Linked DNA regions of Mus musculus. The protein of the gene in region 1 interacts with the protein of each later gene in a biochemical or structural test. Links are inferred from orthologs where the notes say so. Each region holds a gene or a part of one and is shown on either strand. Other genes may lie near its edges.

Region 1 (10,344 bases):
CGCAGGTGTGCTGCACCCCTCACTAAGTGGCAGTAGCCGGACCCACCTGGCGGTCCACATAGGAATGACACTGGCCGCCACTGACCTGCCTCCCGCAGGGGCCATGCCAGGGGCGCCATCTGCTGGGCCCTGTACCCAGGCTCGAACCCCAAGGTCACTGCCCCAGCATCCAACCACCTGGGACAGCTGCGCGCATAGTACCGGCCCAGCGTTCTCCTGCTCCGCCCCAGGATTTGGACTCAAGGGGGTGGTGGTGGTGGTGGGGTGGGTGGTGGTGGAGCTGGAAGGTGGCTCTTTCCTCCTGTCTGAAGTTTGAGGTGGCCTTCCCGAACTCTCAGCCTCATATGCTGAGGACCCAATGAGCGAAATGGACTGCGGACTGGGCTCCAAGGATGCGGGTGGCCAGAGGCTTGAAGGGGGATGAATGGTCTACTCACTACTGTAGCGGGCCACACACTGGATTTAGTCCTTTAGTCCAGACACTTTCACTGAGCTCGCCCGGGTCACACCTTCCTCCCCTGACCCCCGAGCCCCGCCCCGGGAGGGGTAATGGCAGGGTCAGAGTGACCCGCAGAACTCCAGCCTAGCCTCTGCCTACCTCCATGACTGCTGGGGCAGTGGCAGGGTACAGACCGTCCAGAGCACCAGCATTCTGCCCTTGTCCAGCCCTGACCTGGCTCCCAGTCAGACGCTGTGTCCACTTCCTGAGGGTGGTACACAGGCCCTGAGCCACACTAGCTCTGTAGGCTACTCCATGCTAAAGCAGGAGGTCTGGCTGACCTGTGTATTTCCCTGTCCCACCTCCTGGGTAGCTGCTCCTTGCCCATCTGGGATCACTAGAGCTTGGATTGGGGGATTCTTTCTCTCCACAGCTCCAAACCCTGCATTTTAGGATCACGATGGAAGTGGGAACCGGGTCTGCCCCACTTGCTCGGTTGTCCAGGCCCTGCTCACTTCCGCTGCCACCTCCTGAGCTGAGAAGCCTTCCCTCTCCCTTCCTTTGGCTTCCTGCCATGTGCACCACATCCAGCTTCATAAAGGACAGAGCTTCTTTGTTTAAAGATTTATGTCTAGGAGCACACTGTAGCTGTACAGATGGTTGTGAGCCTTCATGTGGTTGTTGGGAATTGATTTTTAGGACCTCTGCTTGCTCCGGTCAGCCCTGTGCATTCAGGCTCAAAGATTTATTTATTTTTTGGGTTTTTTTTTTTTGAGACAGGGTTTCTCTGTATAGCCCTGGCTGTCCTAGAACTCACTCTGTAGACCAGGCTGGCCTCGAACTCAGAAATCCACCTGCCTCTGCCTCTTGAGTGCTGGGATAAAGGTGTGTGCCACCACACCCGGCCCAAAGATTTATTATAAATAAGTACACTATAGCTGTCTTCAGCCGCACCAGAAGAGAGCGTCAGATCTCATTACGGGTGGTTGTGAGCCACCATGTGGTTGCTGGGATTTGAACTCAACACCGTTGGAAGAGCAGTCAGTGCTCTTACCTGCTGAGCCATCTCACCAGCCCACGATGGAGTTTCTGTGGCTAGCTACTCAGTGGGTATAAACAGAAGCCTCCAGTCCATGGGCCTGGGGGTGGGGGCAGTCAGTGGCAGAGGTGGAACCCAGTCAGTGACACCAAGGTGCGCAGAGCATGGATGGAACAGATCAGAAACCTGACTGGGGTGGCCAGCCTGCTAAAATGAAAGCTGAACTGGAAGCAGGTACAGACAAGCGGGGCTGGTCAGAGGACTAGAGGTGGCTGCAGGATCTGCCTCTTGTTGTGCAGAAAGTGGGTAAGAGCTGCAAGGGGGCTATCAGCTTTAGGAGGTGCATGTCTCTCAGGAGGAGGCAGCCAGCCCTTGGACACACTTTCTCAGACCACTTACCACATCCACATCTCACCACAGCAGTGAGGAACAGATGGTCCCTGGGTGCTGGAGCGGCTTAGTGGGCATAACAGGGAGCAAGGTCCTGAGAGAAGAGCTTTCTCTTTTTTGAGACAGTTTTCTCTATGTAGCCCAGGCTGTTCTGGAAGTCACTGTGTACACCAGGTGAGCTTTGAACTCACAAGAGATCTGCCTGCCTCTGCTGCTAGAGTAATGATTCAAAGGTGTGGGCCACCACACCCAGCCGAGGTGGAGCGAATCTTTGAGATCAGGCCAAGGCCTAGGCAGGCAGGCCTGCCTAGTCAGCCTCAGGTCTGACACAGGTGCACTAAGTGGCTGGGCACACCTCGGAGCAGCTGGGAACCTCCTCCAGCCGGGCAGATGCCCTTCCTAAGGGTGGGTGGGGAGGCTCTGTTTGTTGGCCAACACACTTTGTTTCATGTGTGCAGACCCTTGACCTTCATGGTTGTAATGTGTCCTGGCTTCTGCCACCCGAGGCTGGCTCAGACTCACCCTCGGTTTACTGCCTCCCTTCCAGTGGAAAGGCCAGACCTGTACCTCTCGGCACAGACAAGATGTCCCCACCTGCATGTGATGTGTCTGCAAAGGCCTAGACAGGAACGTGGACTCCAGTTATTTAGACGTTGAGCTCCTCAGACTTTTACAGTTCCCTTTTTATTCTGGGCTTTTAGGTTTACTTAAAAGTTTCAAAGACATCAGAGGAGTTCACTCATTACACTGTAACGTCAGCTCCCTTACTGAGGGTAACCTTGGCATACATTCCAAACCTGGCCTGATGCTCCCGGCCTTTTCACTCTCTTCTGTTCTAAGGTTAGGTTGACACCCCTGAGGGCAGGAACAGTGGAGACCATGTTTCTCGTTCCCGTTGCCTAACAAGGAGAAAGTGAGTATGAAGTGCCTTGGTGGGCGGAGCCTTGCTGGAGGATCCAGGTACCAAGCACAGAGGTGACCGGACTCTCCGGGGAATCCAAAGTGGCCGCAGGGAGAAGGAAGTGACAGGTTGCAGTGACCACCTGGGAGGGTGTCGGATGGAGCCAGCCTGCAGTAAATCTCCCCAACTCTTCAACTGCTGCATTAATCCACCGGAATATGAAATAAGATGCAACAACGTCACAATAAAAGCCGACCAAAGCCAGCAAAGGAAAAATGTTTTTTATCATTTCTCTAGACTGAGTCTTTCTTTACAACGGAGACACGCCCACTTCTGGCAGCCCTGCAATCGTGAGCCTGCAGCCCTGGCCTGCAGGCTCACGGAAGCCAGGCATTCTCAATTCCTGCTCCAAGTGGGGTGGGGCCGCCAACTTCCACAGCAGGCAAGAACAGCCCGGACCTGACCTTGGGCGAGGCCTCCCTCACACTGCCCAGTTGCAAAACTGACAAATCACAGCGCCTCCTTCTCGTGCACCGCGTTAGGAGGCCGGGCTGCGGCTCCGCTCCGGCGGGGCTGGGGCTACCCCTCCCCCGCGTCCCCAGGGAGGGCTGCGTCTCGGATCCCAAGCGCACAGGCGAGGGTCTCCGCGCGCACCGGCCGGAACCGCCTTTGTCCTGCGGGCCAATGGGTAGCCTGCTTGACTAAATAAGGCGAGGAGCGCGGCCCGGCGCCCCGTCCGTTACGTCCGCCCCCGTGACTCAGGGCGGCCACTGGCCTCCCGGCGGCGGGCGGAGCGCGGGTCGAAATCGCCAAATATGGCCGCGCGCCGCCCGCCGCCCCTGCCCCCACCCGCACACCTGAGTTGCACCTTGGTCCCGCGGCGGGACAAGGCGCCCCCGCCGGGGGAACCCGGCCTTACATGGCCGTTCCGTGCTCGCAGCGCCTTCTGCACACAAGCAGACAAAGGCGTCTTAAGAGAAGGCTCGGATTTGAGGGCCAGGCCCCCGGCAGTACTTCTTGGGTAGCCATGGGCGTGTCAGAGGTGTGAGTGCTCACCGAAACCTTCCACTTTCCCCACGACTCTCACCCCCACCTACAAGTGTTAGTTAGCTGTTAGCTCCTGTAGGCTCATGGTGGGGTCCTGGAGGTCCAGCCCTGCATCCCCCTCATGGGTGGTGCTCCCATTTGACAGGCACCTCTGTACAACCACAGGGCCAGCGCCCTTCTTTCTAGGCCTGATGTTGCACAAAAGGTGACTGAGTGTTGGCACGGGTTTATGGCCAGCAGGTAAGCAGGGCAGGCTGCTTGGTCCCCCTGGGTCTTGTGTTCATGTCTCAGATGGGGAGCTGACCTTGCAGGGCTGCCTGAGAGCGCCTGTGCATAGGGTGGGAGTGGCACCCCGTACCTGCTCGAATCAAGCTCTGTGCCCTGTGACCTTGGAGTCCCTCACCTCACTGCTACCCTCCGCTTCATTCCACAATGAACCATTCCAGAAGCTTACAAATAAAACCCGGTTAACTCCCGTGCCAGCTTTCTCTTCAGGCACCATCTAGGACGGCAGCGCCACGACCCTGCTAAGGGTGACAAGTTTCCAAACAGCCGGGAGAAGGGCAGCGAGGCCGGCCCGCCCCCCACGCCTGTCCGGAGGGGACTAAGGCCTAAGCATTCTGTGCCCAAAACCAGTTTGACCCGGACTTCATAATCAGTGGAGAGGAGTCTCGCCAGCTGACCCACGCGGGGGGCGGGGCTGGACCATCCTGAAAGTCGGGAGACTTCCCCTGCCTCAGTTTCCCTACAATGTGTCCCGCAAAGCCAGCATAACACAATGCCCACTCACACCACCACCACCACCTTCTTTGATGCCCAGGGACACCCAACCCCGTGACGACCCCTCCTCCAATAAAGGGACATGGCTGAAGTGGAAGAACTGGTGACCCTCTCCCACGTGACTGGGATGTGATGGCCGCTCCCCGGACCCCCGGGAATCCCTCCAGCCCGTCCCCAGCCAGGCACACACGGACCCTGTAGAGAAAGGTCCTGGGGGGTGTGCGGGGCACAGGATTCACATAGGGGCGGGGGCCACGGGACTCACCCCAGATCGGGGCGCGGCCCGCCCCGGGCTTGGCAGTTTCGGGGCGCAGCCCGGGCCCTCCCTGCTACGCGGCAGTCCCGGGGCAGGGCAGGGCCGATCGCACGCACGCCACTCGCCGAGACCCCCGCGAGCAAGAACCGGGCCTCCCGGGGTCGCGAGCGCGCGGGGGCGGCGCGGGCGGGGCCGTTGGCGGCGGCGCGGGCCAGGGGCGGGCGGGCCCGGGCCCCACGTGTCCCTGGCGGGCGGGCCAATAGGCGCCCGGCTTTTGGAAAGATCGCCATATATGGACATGTTCTGGGGCCGCGCGCGCCCCCGCCCGCGCGCGCGGCCCGCTCCCGCTTAAATAGCGGCGGGGGAGGCCGCGGTCGGTCTCACACTCCGCCGCCGGCTTACACTGCGCTTCTTGCCGCTCCTCCGTCGCCGCCGCGTCCTTCGCCGGTAAGCTGCCGCTCCCCGGGCTTGGCCCAGTGACTTCCTGTGGCCCTTTCTTCCCGCTCACCCTGCCTGCCGCACCGCTGCGGAGCGGAGCGGAGCGCAGGGCGCCTGACGGGTGGGCCTGGGTCTGCAGCCGCGGCTGGGGGCAGGGCGGGGCCCGACGCAATGCGCAGCCCCTCCTCGCCGCGGCGGAACGGGGCGCTGCCGGTAGCCGACGGTTACGCCGCCCGGGGTGGGGACTGCACTCCTCCGGGGTGGCTCGGCCCTGGCCGAGGACATTTTCTGAGTTCGGTGAGGGCTGCGCTAATTCCGGGGCTTCTTCCTGCGCAGATCGCAATGGAAGAAGAAATCGCCGCACTCGTCATTGACAATGGCTCCGGCATGTGCAAAGCCGGCTTTGCTGGCGACGACGCCCCCAGGGCCGTGTTCCCTTCCATCGTAGGGCGCCCCCGACACCAGGTTAGTTGAGAGGAGTGGCCTCCCTTGTGTTCTCTCTGGGCCCGGGTCGCGCGGTGGGTGGGGCGAGTCTGACCGCGGCCTTTTCTCTCGCAGGGCGTCATGGTGGGCATGGGCCAGAAAGACTCATACGTGGGTGACGAGGCCCAGAGCAAGAGGGGTATCCTGACCCTGAAGTACCCTATCGAACACGGCATTGTCACTAACTGGGACGACATGGAGAAGATCTGGCACCACACCTTCTACAATGAGCTGCGTGTGGCTCCTGAGGAGCACCCGGTGCTTCTGACCGAGGCCCCCCTGAACCCCAAAGCTAACAGAGAGAAGATGACGCAGGTATGCTTGAGCCGGGACCTTGCCTCCCCTTGGGCGTGACGAGTCATTTTGTGTTGTGCCTCATTTCCTGACATTCAAGCGTTTCTTTGGTGTTTCTAGGGTTCTGTTCCTCTTCTCCTGGCATTTCCTCCCTGAAGCCTCCAGGTTTCTGTTTGCGTTTCTGCTTGCGTTCTGTTCTTTTTTTCTTCACACATCACATTTGTGGCATGCAGCATGCAGAGTGTGGGTGTGGGAGGCTCAGGGCCCCTGCTACTCACTCACTCAGGTGTTCTTTGTCTTTCCACAGATAATGTTTGAAACCTTCAATACCCCAGCCATGTACGTGGCCATTCAGGCGGTGCTGTCCTTGTATGCATCTGGGCGCACCACTGGCATTGTCATGGACTCTGGTGACGGGGTCACACACACAGTGCCCATCTATGAGGGCTACGCCCTTCCCCACGCCATCTTGCGTCTGGACCTGGCTGGCCGGGACCTGACAGACTACCTCATGAAGATCCTGACTGAACGGGGCTACAGCTTTACCACCACTGCTGAGAGGGAAATTGTTCGTGACATAAAGGAGAAGCTGTGCTATGTTGCCCTGGATTTTGAGCAAGAAATGGCTACTGCTGCATCATCTTCCTCCTTGGAGAAGAGTTACGAGCTGCCCGACGGGCAGGTGATCACCATTGGCAATGAGCGGTTCCGGTGTCCGGAGGCACTCTTCCAGCCTTCCTTCCTGGGTAGGTGTCCACAACATGATTTAGGAGCCAAGGGGCTCTCAGAAGGGATGGAACACACAGAATGTAGTGGCTAAATGAGCTCTGTTCCCTAGGCATGGAGTCCTGTGGTATCCATGAGACCACTTTCAACTCCATCATGAAGTGTGATGTGGATATCCGCAAAGACCTGTATGCCAATACAGTGCTGTCTGGTGGTACCACCATGTACCCAGGCATTGCTGACAGGATGCAGAAGGAGATCACAGCCCTAGCACCTAGCACGATGAAGATTAAGGTGAGTGGCTACCACCCGGCCTGAGCTGGCCTTAGGACCTGTGGCTGGGAAGTGGGACCCACAGGAAGGGCATGAGTGCTCATTCAGTGTTTTTCCTCCACAGATCATTGCTCCCCCTGAGCGCAAGTACTCAGTCTGGATCGGTGGCTCCATTCTGGCCTCACTGTCCACCTTCCAGCAGATGTGGATCAGCAAGCAGGAGTATGATGAGTCAGGCCCCTCCATCGTCCACCGCAAATGCTTCTAGATGGACTGAGCAGGTGCCAGGCATCTGCTGCATGAGCTGATATTGAAGTATCAATTTGCCCTGGCAAATGTACACACCTCATGCTAGCCTCATGAAACTGGAATAAGCCTTTGAAAAGAAATTTGTCCTTGAAGCTTGTATCTGATATCAGCACTGGATCGTAGAACTTGTTGCTGATTTTTGACCTTGTATTCAAGTTAACTGCTCCCTTGGTATATGTTTAATACCCTGTGCATATCTTGATTTAGTCCTTAGTTCATGTGGCTCGGTCACTTGGGGGCTGGGGAGAGCACGCTGTAGATGAGAAAGCCCCAGCCTGGTGGATCTCTGTGAGCACCACTGAGTGATCTGTGCAGGGTATTAACCAACAGCAGACTTCCAGGATTTCCTGAGGCTGGCAAGGGTTCCTGAACCAGTTACCACTCCTTCTTGCCAGTCTAACAGGGTGGGAAAGTCCGAGCCTTAGGACCCAGTTTCAGTTCTGGTTTCTTCCCTCCTGACCACCATCGGTTGTTAGTTGCCTTGAGTTGGGAACGTTTGCATCGACACCTGTAAATGTATTCATTCTTTAATTTATGTAAGGTTTTTTGTACTCAATTCTTTAAGAAATGACAAATTTTGGTTTTCTACTGTTCAATGAGAACATTAGGCCCCAGCAACACGTCATTGTGTAAAGAAATAAAAGTGCTGCAGTAACTGACCATTGTTTTTCTGGTTTGGCACAGGGCTGTGGGGTAGGGTGGAGTTGGGAAATGGAAAGGTGTGTCTGGTTGCCTAGCAGCAGAAAGCCTTCCCATTGGTAAGAAAGCCTGTACCCCAGCTTAAAGCCAGCCATGCTTGGAGCAGATTGTTCACTCCCTGCCACATTCTCAAAGGGTAAGGAATTAGGCCAGACAGGCAGCCACAATGAAGGGCCTCACACAGAAGCATTGGTGAGGAGAGCAGGCAGCTCTGGTGTTATCAAGTCATGAACAAGTAAGGAATGTAGCCATGGTCAAAAGAGAAGTAACCTAGATGTCTTAACAATTGCAGCCTTTAAGAGGCCATGCAACATTATTCCTCTATACAGGAATGAAGCTTAGCCACATAGACAACCTGGTAAGACTGGTTATCCAAAGGTGGTGCTGTCAGCACAGGGTTAGGGTTTGGCTGCTCAATGGGAACAGTCTAGGGTGATGAGGCTCTGGAATTAGGGCTAGAGATGCATTTCAATAGATGTTGGAGCTGAGTGCTTGCCAGGCCCTAGGTTGAGTTCCAGGAACCACCTGAATTGAGCATGCTGGCATGCCCGTTAGCAACTCAAGTGGAGGTGACAGGATCAGGAATTAAAAAGTCTTTTAGATTTATTTATATGTAAGTACACTGTAGCTGTCTTCAGACACTCCAGAAGAGGGAGTCAGATCTCCTTATGGATAGTTGTGAGCCACCATGTGGTTGCTGGGATTTGAACTCCGGACCTTCGGAAGACTGCTCTTCCGAAGGGTGCTCTTACCCGCTGAGCCATCTCTCCAGCCCCTCAAAAGTCATTTTTATATATGCAGTGAATTCAGCCAGGCCTCCCTGAGACCCTGTTTGTTTGTTTGTTCGTTTGTTTTTTGTTTTTTTAAAGTGGATGGGGGTTGGTGGGACTGGAGAGTGGTTAAGAGTAGAGAACCTAGTTCTCAGTACCTGTAACTCTAGTTCCAGGGCACCCCATGCCCTTTTCTGGCTTCTGGGCTCCTGCAAGAACTGTTGCATATAAATCGTTGCATATAAATTCATCTAGGCAAACACACATTAACAAAATAATTTTAGCCAGGCAGTGGTGGCGCATGCCTTTAATCCCAATACTTGGGAGGCAGAGGCTGAGTTCAAGGCCAGCCTGTTCTACAGAGTGAGTTCCAGGACAGCTAACAGTTATACAGAGAAATCCTGTGAATAAATAAAAACAACCCCAAAATAATTTTAAAACATTTTAAAAACTGAGTGTGATTGCACTGGGAAGGTAGGGGCAGGTGGATCTCTTGAGTTTGAGGCCAACCTGGTCTACAGAGTAAACTCCAGGCCAGCTAGGGCTACAAAGTGAGACCCTGTCTAAACAAAATAACCCCCCTCACACATACATACACACAATAAGCCAGGCAGTGGTGCACACCTTTAATCCCAGCCCTCTGGGGGCAGGGGGAGGTGGATCTCTCTGAGTTGGAGGCCAGCCCCTGGTCAACAGAGTTCCAGGACAGCCAGGGCTACAGGGAAAGACCTGTCCTGGAAATAAATACATTTAAAGATACAGCATTACAGACAAAAAGAGTCTAGACAGCTAAGTAGCAACATGAAGAGATACTGAGGCCCCAGCCCCAGAAGCTAAGACTCCTACCTTCAACACCAACCCTAGTTCACACTATGTTGCTTCTGGGAGCCCAGCTTGGCCGAAGGTCCCTGGCCTGTGATGAGAGACAACCTTGGCCACTGGAACTCACCTTGGACTATCTGCCTGATGGTGACTAGATCGGCTTGGGCCGCTGGAATGTCTTGGACAGAATAGGGCACCTGAGGAGGAAGGTAGGGCAAAGTATAATATAGATAGACAGAGGATGGACGGACAGACAGGCAGGCAGATAAAACTGGATGGACTGGAACCTCTGAAGTGGACTCTATATCTGACAATCCAGAAAATGAAATGCCTTTCCCGGCCTGGAGCACTGGCCTTGGTGATGCCCCTGCTCCATCCCCAGCCAGCCCTCACTGCCTGCTGGTTTCTGATGTAGATCTTTCCTGCCAGCTCCAGACTACCTAAAAGTTAATCAGCCAGTCTGTCTCCTTAGATTCATAGAGACCCAGGTCTGGTGTCACCATCACACCTGGCACAAAGTCAGCCTTGAATATACATTTGTAAGATGACAGAACATGGTCACACCAAACAGTTTTAATTTACTTAGTTTTATTTGGCAAGAGCATACTACTAGCTCATCAGAGATCGTTAAGTGCTCCTTAAAGAGGTGATCAGGCTCAGGCTTGGAATAGGGTGACT
Region 2 (10,344 bases), on another chromosome or scaffold:
TTCAACAACATTTCCTGCCACTCTCTTTCCTCCCATGCAAGTCCCTTGCCAAACTCACTGCCCTCTGCAAGACTCAAAGATTCTGTTTAAACCGGCTCTCCTAGCTGGGAGGCCGAGTAACCACTTGGAGGGGATGTTGTAGAGGCAAACTCAAGCTGCAGAAATTCCTTCAGATCAAGAAGAGGACAGGGCAATTAGCAATGCTGCACATGCACGGGGCAGGGCGCGGGGAGCTCTTGATTTTGTTTGTGCTTGCCGGTTTTCCTCCACTCATTTTTCTCACACTGGCGGGGGGTGAGGGGGGAGCCCTTTGTTTTACTGTACTGGAGCCACAACGTGGAGCTGCCATGGGTGAGAACTCTAGAGAATGCTGGAAAAAGGTCTCTTCAGTGAACCTAGTGGCAGGAGTCGAAGGAAGGAGATAGACTTTTAATAGGATGTTTGCTTTAGAGAAAGTTGCTTAAATTTTATGAGCCTCAGTTTCTTTCGTAGTAAAATGAGGAAGTCTGTATCCAGTGCATAGAGGATGAGAACTGAATCCTAGTCTATATGCAAAGGCTTCAGGGACGTACAAAATCCCTCCTTTGTCCTTTTCATCTTCTGTTACCTAGGGACTCCTGGCTGTTCACAGGGATTTAGCTTCTCCCGGGTACAAGGGGGCGGGGTCAACTGTAAGGAAGCGTCAGAAGGAAAGGTGGCAATTGTAGGAGCCCCCAGGGGAGTGTGGGCTGCAGGCAGGTGGGGCAGATGGTAGGAGGCCCTGAACTCAGACAAAAAGAGCTGGGTTTGAACAAGCAAAGAGCTGACAGCCCTGCCCTGCCATGTCCCTGGCTCCTCCTCTTTTTCCTTCTGATTAGTATTCCGGCCAAAACTAAAAAAGTTTCAGATCATAGGACTCATTTTCATAAGCTCAGACTTCTATGGGCTGTCGCTCCATCATTGGAAATGCACACAATTTTGGCCTAGGCCCACACTGGAAAGCAAAAGAAAACAAAGTGCCAGCTCGCGCCACTTCCTGGATCCCTGAGGCATGAGCTTCCACAGGGAGGGGCAACTTCGTTGGCTTGTTTCTCACAGGGTGCCATGACCTGTGAGCTGAGAGAGGCAGAGTGCTTGTGAGGTGGACTCTTTGCTTGCCTTTCACTGGAAGGCCCCAGAGAACAGAATCCACCATGCAGCTGAAGGGACCAGGGCCTCTGGAAGCTATTATTATTATTATTATTATTATTATTATTATTATTATTATTATTGTATCTTCACATCTTTGTCTTTGTCCCTTTAATTGGAATTGAAAACTCTCACCTCAGTGGTTATTGTGCCCAGTATATGCTAATCTTCTTCTAAATGCTTCCTTCCCTGAAGCAGCAGTTATCCCTGACATCTGGAATATTAATGCTAAGTAGATTCAACTGTCTGAGATGGAAACCGGTTATTCAAGTCATCTGTTAAGGAACTGACTTCAAGTACTGAGAATCAACTGAAGCAGTGTGATGATGGTTAATTGAGCAAATACTATCTTCTAGGTGTCAAGAAACAGGCTGGTTTAGTAGCATCCTCTTGCCTCTACCTCCTGGGTGCTGGCATTTCAGGCGAGTCATGCCAGGCCTGTTTTATGTCACACTAGAGATTGAACCTAGGGCTTGGTGCAGTCTAGGCAAATGCTCTGCCAAATGAGTTATTTTTATTTGCAAAAAAAAAAAAAAAACCCACAAAATATCTAATTTTCACTGGTAATTTATTAGATAAATGATATCGTCAAGTATTAGTTATGCAGAAATATGTAATGAAATATATACATTTCCCTTTATAAGAGATGAAATGCCAAATTACTTGAGGTTTTTGTTAATGGCAAACAAGAACACATTTATTCTTTTCTTCTCAACTTTCTATTTTAAATAAGAAGAGAACACAGTGCTCGCCATTGTCCCAAGAACTTGATCTTCCCACAACTCCTACAGTTCCTTATCACCACTTGTCCACTTTACAGAGAAGAGTTAAGAGAAGAATGATCGACAGGAGGACCCGGACACTTTTAAGACAAACCCTCTTATTTGCATTTCATTTTATCCGGATCACCCTTTCTTTTCTATTTTTCTGCCCAGTGGGCAAGGGAAGCCCGTTTACAGAGGACTCAGTTCCCAGGGCAAGTTGCTTCCTCTCTTACAGGCTGCCTGCTCTTTTTCAGTCAGCAGCTAAAATAATCTGCCTGCTACGCTGTTACGAAAGTAGAAAATTCTAGATGTTTACAGATTCCACTCTTCAGTCTCCTCTGGCCGCATAACTTCTGTAAGGGCTAATCTTTCCTAAGGCAAACAGGCAACCAGGGTCAAGGCGATAGCATTCCTTTGTCATAGGAAGACACGTACACGGTGACAGCTGAGTGAAGGAAGGGACACTGGAATCCAATGACCCACCGAAATGGTGTCAGTGTAACTGCAGCTGCCAAGCAGAAGTCAGAAATGCACCCTGCAAGATGTGTTCTGTGTTTCAACAATGCAGTGAACTCCCTCCAAGTGGACATGGGGAGAGAGAGGATGTGTTACCAGAGAAGTGACATCTAATGCGCGCTCAAACAGGTCTAGGGCCCCATCCAAAGGGCAGAAAGGCAGTCTCCCAAGTAGAGCATTAACTGGGGAACCACATGGGTCACCTGCTCCTCCCTACCCCCATCTCCTTCCTCCCAAGTAAAAGGGAAGTAGATGAAGAAATGGGGAAGTCCAAGCTGCTCCAGCAGCGGCAGTTTAGGGTCCCTAATAACACTTGACATTACCAGAGAGGCAAAGCCTCTGCCATAAAAATGCTTAGCAAAGGCTTTCTGGAAACATCCCTCCAGGGCACAGAAAAGGAGAAGGAATGTTTTATAGTTCTCTGTGTCTCAGATATAATCCCAGCGATGCCCTTTTAAAAATATCCTACGGAGCTACCTCCAACCACCTGCCACTTGCAGGCACAAGCTTGGTATCTGTAATTACTTTTTAGTAGCAAGTGGGTCCCTGCGACTTACGGACTCAGGTGCCATTTTGAAACCGGCACATCTCTACCTGAATCGTCCACATGTGTTGCAGGGAAAACCTTCCCTTCAAAAGCTAGTTCGCGCTTCAGCTTCAATCCTCAGATAATAGAGCTGATGGACTTGTGGTCTTTGGGAATCCTTGGCTCCCATTAGCAATCACTTTTAATTGATGAAAATAAGAAAAGGAAAATGAACTTCCTTATTGTCAGTCAGTAACAGAAGTTGACTTTGACTTAATTTTGAAGGGGCCGGCTGTGTTCTCTCTGAAGCCCCCTTACACCTAGCAAATGTTAGGCACTTGACTCGATTGCTCACGGAAATTATAGCAAACAATACAAATGCTGCGGCGCTAAAACTTTTCTTTTAAAAATCCACTCAAGGATCCTTTATCGCCCTCTCAAATCAAGGGGGAGACAAGCGAGGGAGACAAAGAGGGCCGGGTGGGGCTGTCCACTGGTCTGAAAGCTGAGTCATTGGAATCAGACCCCAGCAGCTCTTGTATGAGGGACACCTCACCCTATCTTGGGGGCGTTGGCTGCAGACAAAGCCGGTTTCAAAGTAAAGAAAAGCCTGTCCCCTTAGGTGCCACTCAGGCCATTAGTTATCACGCATTGAACCTTAAGAACAGGTTTGGGCGGCTGCTGCAAAAGTTCATGATAATAAAATAGACGTCAAATGGGGGGGAAAGCATTTTGAAGGCGTTTGTTCCTTTTCTAGTTCCGCCATCGATGTGGTTCAAAGGCGCTGGTGAATGGGGATGTGGGGGTTGGGAGGGGGTCTGACAGCCTCCGAACGCCCTTCCGGAGATGCGGCGCGAAGGAGTTAAGCCGGACTACGAGTGACATCACCTCATTTGCATAGAAGCACACATAAAGCGGCGTTCGCCGCGCCCCTCCCGACAATCCGCAGCGGCTTCTGAGCAGATCAGACTCTCCTCGTTCGCGCAGCTCGCTCGGGTGAGCCCCAGGGCCCCTTCCTTCTGTCCTTCCCTGCCTGTCCAGCGCAGGCACTTGCCCCTCATCCTCCTCGTCCTTAAAGCCAAGTCCAAGGCATGGTAGTTTCGGGGAATTGGGGGGGGGGGATGCTAAACTCTTCCAGATGCCGAGTAACGGGAAGGGGAACTTGATTAAGAAAGAGAAAACCCCATAAAATTGGGCATTCTGTTGCGCAGCTTAGAGGGGAATTGTTTTTTTTTTCTCCTCGACCCTCTCTCCGAAATATTTTCCCTTGCCTAGCTAGCTGTAATTAATCAGAATTAGAAAGATCCTTTGTTCAAACGCTCTGTGCTCCCCTTAATCGCCTAATGGCTTCGAGGGCTGTTATCTGTGGCGGGTTTAACCTTCCCGGCCTTTAGCGTGAAAATTCGGAAGCCCTTGCAGACGAATGTATGCAAAGGCCGTCAAAAGGCCCCTGTATGCAGATCAAGATGCTTTTGCGAGAAGTGGGGAGGCAGTTTTGTGTGCCAAGGCAGCATTGTTGGACTAGAGAGAGGAGAGGAAGCGAGTAGGGCGGTGGTCGGCAGCTGGCGGCGTCAGCTCCCCCGCCTTTGTGAGGAGGAGAAAGCTGGACCGCCTGGCATCTTTTGGAGAGCAAGCCCTTCTAGAAAACGGAGATGCGTATTGCGACCTTGGCTCCTTTTTAAGAGATTTTACTAGACTTTCCCCCACTTAAACTGGAAATGGCTTCGATCTATCCAGACTTTAATTTTTTCAAAGCTGCAATGTTAACATTCCGCAATGGTGAATTTTATTATACGGGAATACTCACCTTTGACTATTTCCACCTTCGTTCTTTGAATCTTCCCTTTGGGAATATTAAGGGGGAAGATTTTTTTCCTATAGAAAGAGGAAGATCTTTAGAGAGGACTCGACAAGGAAAGCACACAGAGGGAGAGGCAGTAGGATTTCAGGCTTTGGGCTTTCCGGCGGGGTGGGGGTGTGCTTTTGGAACTGGGAGAGGCGAGGGTGGGTGGCTCTTTCTTAGCTCTGGTCTTGGCTTTTGTACCTGCAGCTCCTTCCAGCAACCATGTCTGACAAACCCGATATGGCTGAGATCGAGAAATTCGATAAGTCGAAGTTGAAGAAAACAGAAACGCAAGAGAAAAATCCTCTGCCTTCAAAAGAAAGTAAGCTGTTCGCCCCCACCCATTTTCAGAACGGGCTGGGCGGGAGCAGAGCAGAGCGGGGAGCAGCGGCCGGGAGGAGGAAGGGAGGGGCAGCAGGGAGGATGGGGGGGGGGGCTGCGGGGGAGGAGTCGACAGTTTGATGATGATGAATATGGCCTGCAAAGGTTAATTAAAAACTGTTTTGCAGTCAACAAGCGCCGGGCTCTAGTGATTTAATAATGGAATATTTCATATTCCATATTGTGCATATACATTTATTGGGTAACTGTACTTCTGTTTAGCATGTCTTGCTTAGCGAGGCTGCTATGTGTCTTTCTAGAATTTTTATAGGGTTTTTAAATGGAAATCATGTCATTTTATAGAATGCTCTAAGTCTCCTTTTTTTTTTCTTTTCTTCACAGCAATTGAACAAGAGAAGCAAGCTGGCGAATCGTAATGAGGCGAGCGCCGCCAATATGCACTGTACATTCCACGAGCATTGCCTTCTTATTTTACTTCTTTTAGCTGTTTAACTTTGTAAGATGCAAAGAGGTTGGATCAAGTTTAAATGACTGTGCTGCCCCTTTCACATCAAAGAATCAGAACTACTGAGCAGGAAGGCCTCCCCTGCCTCTCCCACCCATCTGATGGTCTGGCTAGCAGAGAGGGAAAAGAACTTGCATGTTGGTGAAGGAAAAAGCTGGGTGGGAGATGATGAAATAGAGAGGAAAATTCAAGATGGTCAAAGATGTCCTGCAGGATGTAAAATGCAGTTTAATCAGAGTGCCATTTTTTTTTGTTCAAACAATTTTAATTATTGGAATGCACAATTTTTTTAATATGCAAATAAAGTTTTAAAACCTGATTGGTGTGTCTGCTTGGTGACTGGAAGGAGTAGTTAAATGAGTGATAAAACCCTTGCAAAACTGCCTTGCCTCTTGGTCACTGGGACATAGAAGAGACAAACGTAAACTGCCTTGGCCTAACAGCTCTGGCTTAGTCCAGGTCTGTGAAATACCCTGTCTATAGCAAATGATTGGGAGGTCATCATAAGAGTTCCTCATGGGTTACATGGAAGAGTTAATGAAAATATTTGAAATTGGTATAGCCACCATGGTTGGAAGAAGGGGGCTGTGGAATGAAGGGGTAGGGGGGAGGAACTCACGTGTAGTTAGAGCCTTTCAGGAGTTTTGGAAAGCCAACATTGAATTTATTACATATCACTCAACGCAAAGGGTGTTGGTTTGGTACACTAGCATTAGGTATCAACATGAACTTGGCTAACCAACTATCTGGTATTGAACAAGTGGAATTTAGGGTAAAAATAGTATTTGCTTTAGAAAGGAATTTAGAATTGGTTTGTCCTTGTCTAGCGGCCAGTTTGCAAATGAAGCTCAATGTTTAAAATCGGCTTTATTAAAGTAAACGTGTTTACCAGTAAGTGATGATCTGAACTTAGTGAAATCCTCATAAGGAATGCTTGAGCTTAGAGGACAAATGCAGGACAGGTGAAATCTGGGCCAGATAACCATCGGCTGACCCGAAGGGCTTGAGTCCTCCTAATCGGCAGTCATCTGAGCTGCATATTTAATTGGCGGGTACACGCAAAGTCCTTGTTCTGGCCAGGCCACAACATGTAGAAAGGGAGGAAAAACGAGCTATCACTTGTTAACAGTAAAATGAAGGTACTTGAAGCTCCTTCATGGATGACTCTGTTCTTTCCGAAGGGTGCAGATCTATTAAGCCAAATAAAGCAATATTTTAAGATCATTAGCTTACACAATATCTCAGCAAGGCTGAAGCATACAAAGCAAATGTCCACAGGAGGAACTTTTCTTCTAAAACTGGGCTTGTGAAAATACTGGCTTGTAGGGTGGGTGGTGGATTACCAAACCCAGTGGATTTCCTTTGCTCAACACTTCCTTTGAGAAATGCACATGAAACCACCTGTGGTTTAGACAATCGAGGAGACCATCAGTGAACAGGCCTTTATCTGCCTGTCAGGGATAGGATGTGTGCATGTGTTGGCCACAGCTCATTCACTCTGCAGAGGAGCCCAAGCAGCCAGCACAAAGGTTCTGGGGGTGGGGGGTGGGGCAGTCCTCTAGCCCTGACATTTCTTTGCTGACCTACAAGGCAGTTTAAAGAAAATGCCCAAACCACAGAGAGAAAACAGACACATGCAATTTTTTGCTGTGTGCATTTTTTAAAGGATCCAAGATGGAAAAAAAATTAGAAAAATTTCACAAAATTCCAGGGTTCCTCAGTTTAAAAAAGGATGGGGGAAAGGAATGGTTTAGACAGGTCCGTGGTGGAAAAGATGGCCTTTCTGTCCCAGGAAGACCAAGACAAAATGTAGTGGGGACAAAAAGGCAGAGTTAAAAATCCAGGCCTGGGGATATAGCTCTATTAGTAAAGTGCTTGCCTAACATGTATGAAACCTGAGGTTTGAGTCTTAGCACTACATTAAACCTGGAGTGGTGGTGGAGGCAGGAAGATCTTTCAAGGCCATCGTCAGCTGCATAGGAGGTTTGGAGCCAGACTTGAGTACAAAGGACCCTCTCTCAAAATAACGAAAATGAAAGAAAATTAGAAATGACCAAATGCTGAGAAATGGGTGCAAAGTCAGGAACAACTGCCCACATCATGAGATATTGGAATTTGACTAAAATGCTACTGGAGTAGAAGAGAGTCCTTTGCTGCTGTTTTGTTATGGTGGTGATGGTGGTGGGGTATTATTACTATTATCATTTTTAAATGCTTTATTTGATGAAGCATTCTGTATTCTTCCTAGGAGAGAATCTTCCAGAAGGGCTGGAGGTATTTAGGAATTCCTGGGGGAATTTATGTTTCTGCTACCTGAGCACTTAAGGTTGCCAGTATTTTCAGAGATGTTGAAGGAGAAAAGAAATGTATCCTTAGTACAAGAGAGAGAATATTTCAACTAGACACACTTGTTACCACATCTTTGACTGGTCTCCTCTCAGAAGGAATGGGCCAAAGGAACTTCTGTACACTGCAGACAAACTGAACCTAGTGGTGCATGCATGTAATCCAGGACTTGGTAGGATAAGACATGAGGATCAACCTAAGTTCCAGGGCATTTTGGGACTCCAGAAAAACTCCTGTCTCTAGAATAAAATGGGATAAAAACCAGTCACAGAGTTTTGAAGTTCTGTAAACTTGGAACCAATCTAGATGAATAAACCAGAACTGGAGAAAAGAAAAGGCTCACTGAAAGACCCGTGGGTTGGAGCTGTTTTCAAAGCTCACCAAATTTTCAACTATTTTAGCTGTGCATATCCCAACCTTCTCGTGGATGGACTTTTAAAGCCACTTTTCAGGAGAACAGCACACTTTTGGTAGTGTGTGCAAAATGATTGAGTAAGTGTGGAGTAGAAGGCATGGGGGCAGGCAAACAGTCTGACATGCGCACAGCCGCTCAGCCTTCCTACACTTCTTCCAGCCCTTGTAGCCACACCTAGGTTTCGTTGCCCATACACGCACTGAAGGTTCTGTTTCTTTCTCCCAGAGAAGCATAATTCCTCAAGACACAAAACTGAGTTTGTTTCTTCTTTCTTTTCCCAACATTTCTAAAAATATGAGTGCTATTCATGCTTACTAGAAAGAATACTGCATTTTGGAAACTGTGTTACAGCCAGAAAATAAATTTTAAAAAAATCGTGAGTCTTCCTTAGCTCAAAATGTACATTTAAAAAGTTTTCAATAATGTAGAGAGCAGGAAATGTTTCCATAGCAGCCGGCATGGGCCTAGTGTGAAAGTGAGAGAAGCAATGTAAGCACTTTCTTTGCTCTCACCCCACTGCGCTCAGTTGTATATTAGGCTTTTAAAAGTTATTTGTAAATTATATCTTCATGAGCAGCTTACAAGATAATCTAACAGAAAGAAACACACCATTTGGGGATCCATCTATACTTTTATTTGTGCATAATGAAAGGGGGCACAATGACAAGCTTAAGAATCAAATGTAGAAAGAACTGAAAACTGCATGCATCAAGTTATATTTCCCTAGGGCATTTGTATAGTCTTCTCTAGCCATGTCGTCTGCTTCCTGCCTTCCTCAATTGTGTGGACGGAGTTGTGCATGCTACCTTCCTTGGGTGTGTATTGAGTATTCTTTCCTGTTTAAAAGTCTCGCACGGTAAGAGAAACATTAATTAGAGCTTTGCTCCTTAATTGGAGACTTCATGCAATGTGCTGACTTAGAAGTACTTTTGAACATGTGATTAATATTCTAGATAGCACTATTATATGTTCGTGCTTTTTTATGAAAAAAATAATCAAGTTTAATTTAGAGAACACTATCAGAATGTATCTGAAAGACTGCATTGGCATCCGAAGAAGAAGGAGAAGAAGGAGAAGAGGAGGAGGAGGAGGAGGAGGAGGAGGAGGAGGAGGAGGAGGAGGAGGAGAAATAAAAGCAACCTGAAAATCATGTTTATTAGAAGACTGGAGAAAAATAATAATGACATTTAGCTTTAAAAATCCTAAGTTTCTTGCAAATCAACTTACTTCAAAGCGGAAGAAAGCTAAGTCATTTTAAATATCATAATACATGTAGGCTTCTTTCATTGAATATCATATACATTTAAAGGGAAAGTTATACAGAATTTCTTTCTTTTTCTTTTCTTCCTTCTTTTTTTGATAAGATCAATTATTTATTTCTGAGAACTCTAAAGCCTTCAATTTGCCAGACAAAGAGCATTGGAATATTCCATTTAGTTTATTTACATATCTCTTCACCAATTTCTCCAATGCACACAGTTTCTTCTCTACTCTCCAACACTAGTTAAAGATCAGCCATCAGCATTCCATGTCCTCTGAAACTCTGTCATTTCGTACTTTCACTCATACTTCCTGATCCTGAGGCGGTAAGCTCCATGAGCTTCCTGGTGGTGCTTTGGTTTGGTTTGTTCTGAGACCGACCAGGGCTCACCATGCAGTTCAGACTAGCCAGGATCTCTCTGCATCAGCCTCTCCAGAGCTGAGACTTGAAACATCACCATGCCGGGCCTTTAAAATATTGTCTGAAAGGATAAATTTAGGAAGCTTTGAACAGTAACTTGCCATTGACTTTGGTTAAGCTGATTTGATTCTGTACCTACAACCAGCAACATCTTCTCCACATTAAGCCTGAATGATGGATCATTAGTTTACTCTAACAATATTTACTGATTGTCTATTCCATGTTGAGTATTTTTATTT

The links.
Region 2: the proteins of Actg1 (region 1) and Tmsb4x are reported together in a solved structure, tested with the Homo sapiens proteins (2 studies listed by BioGRID, with this or other methods). The link is inferred for Mus musculus from reciprocal best matches to the Homo sapiens genes ACTG1 and TMSB4X.

The regions. Positions count from the first base shown.
Region 1 is NC_000077.6:120,343,380-120,353,723, reverse strand, and holds Actg1 (actin, cytoplasmic 2), read left to right. Parts: upstream 1-5,228; 5' UTR 5,229-5,299; intron 5,300-5,626; 5' UTR 5,627-5,632; coding exon 5,633-5,755; intron 5,756-5,848; coding exon 5,849-6,088; intron 6,089-6,187; exon of another isoform or gene 6,188-6,232; intron 6,233-6,310; exon of another isoform or gene 6,311-6,374; coding exon 6,375-6,813; intron 6,814-6,905; coding exon 6,906-7,087; intron 7,088-7,190; coding exon 7,191-7,334; 3' UTR 7,335-8,037; downstream 8,038-10,344. UniProt on the Homo sapiens protein: Actins are highly conserved proteins that are involved in various types of cell motility and are ubiquitously expressed in all eukaryotic cells.
Region 2 is NC_000086.7:167,202,731-167,213,074, reverse strand, and holds Tmsb4x (thymosin beta-4), read left to right. Parts: upstream 1-3,856; 5' UTR 3,857-3,969; intron 3,970-5,023; 5' UTR 5,024-5,038; coding exon 5,039-5,138; intron 5,139-5,539; coding exon 5,540-5,574; 3' UTR 5,575-5,981; downstream 5,982-10,344.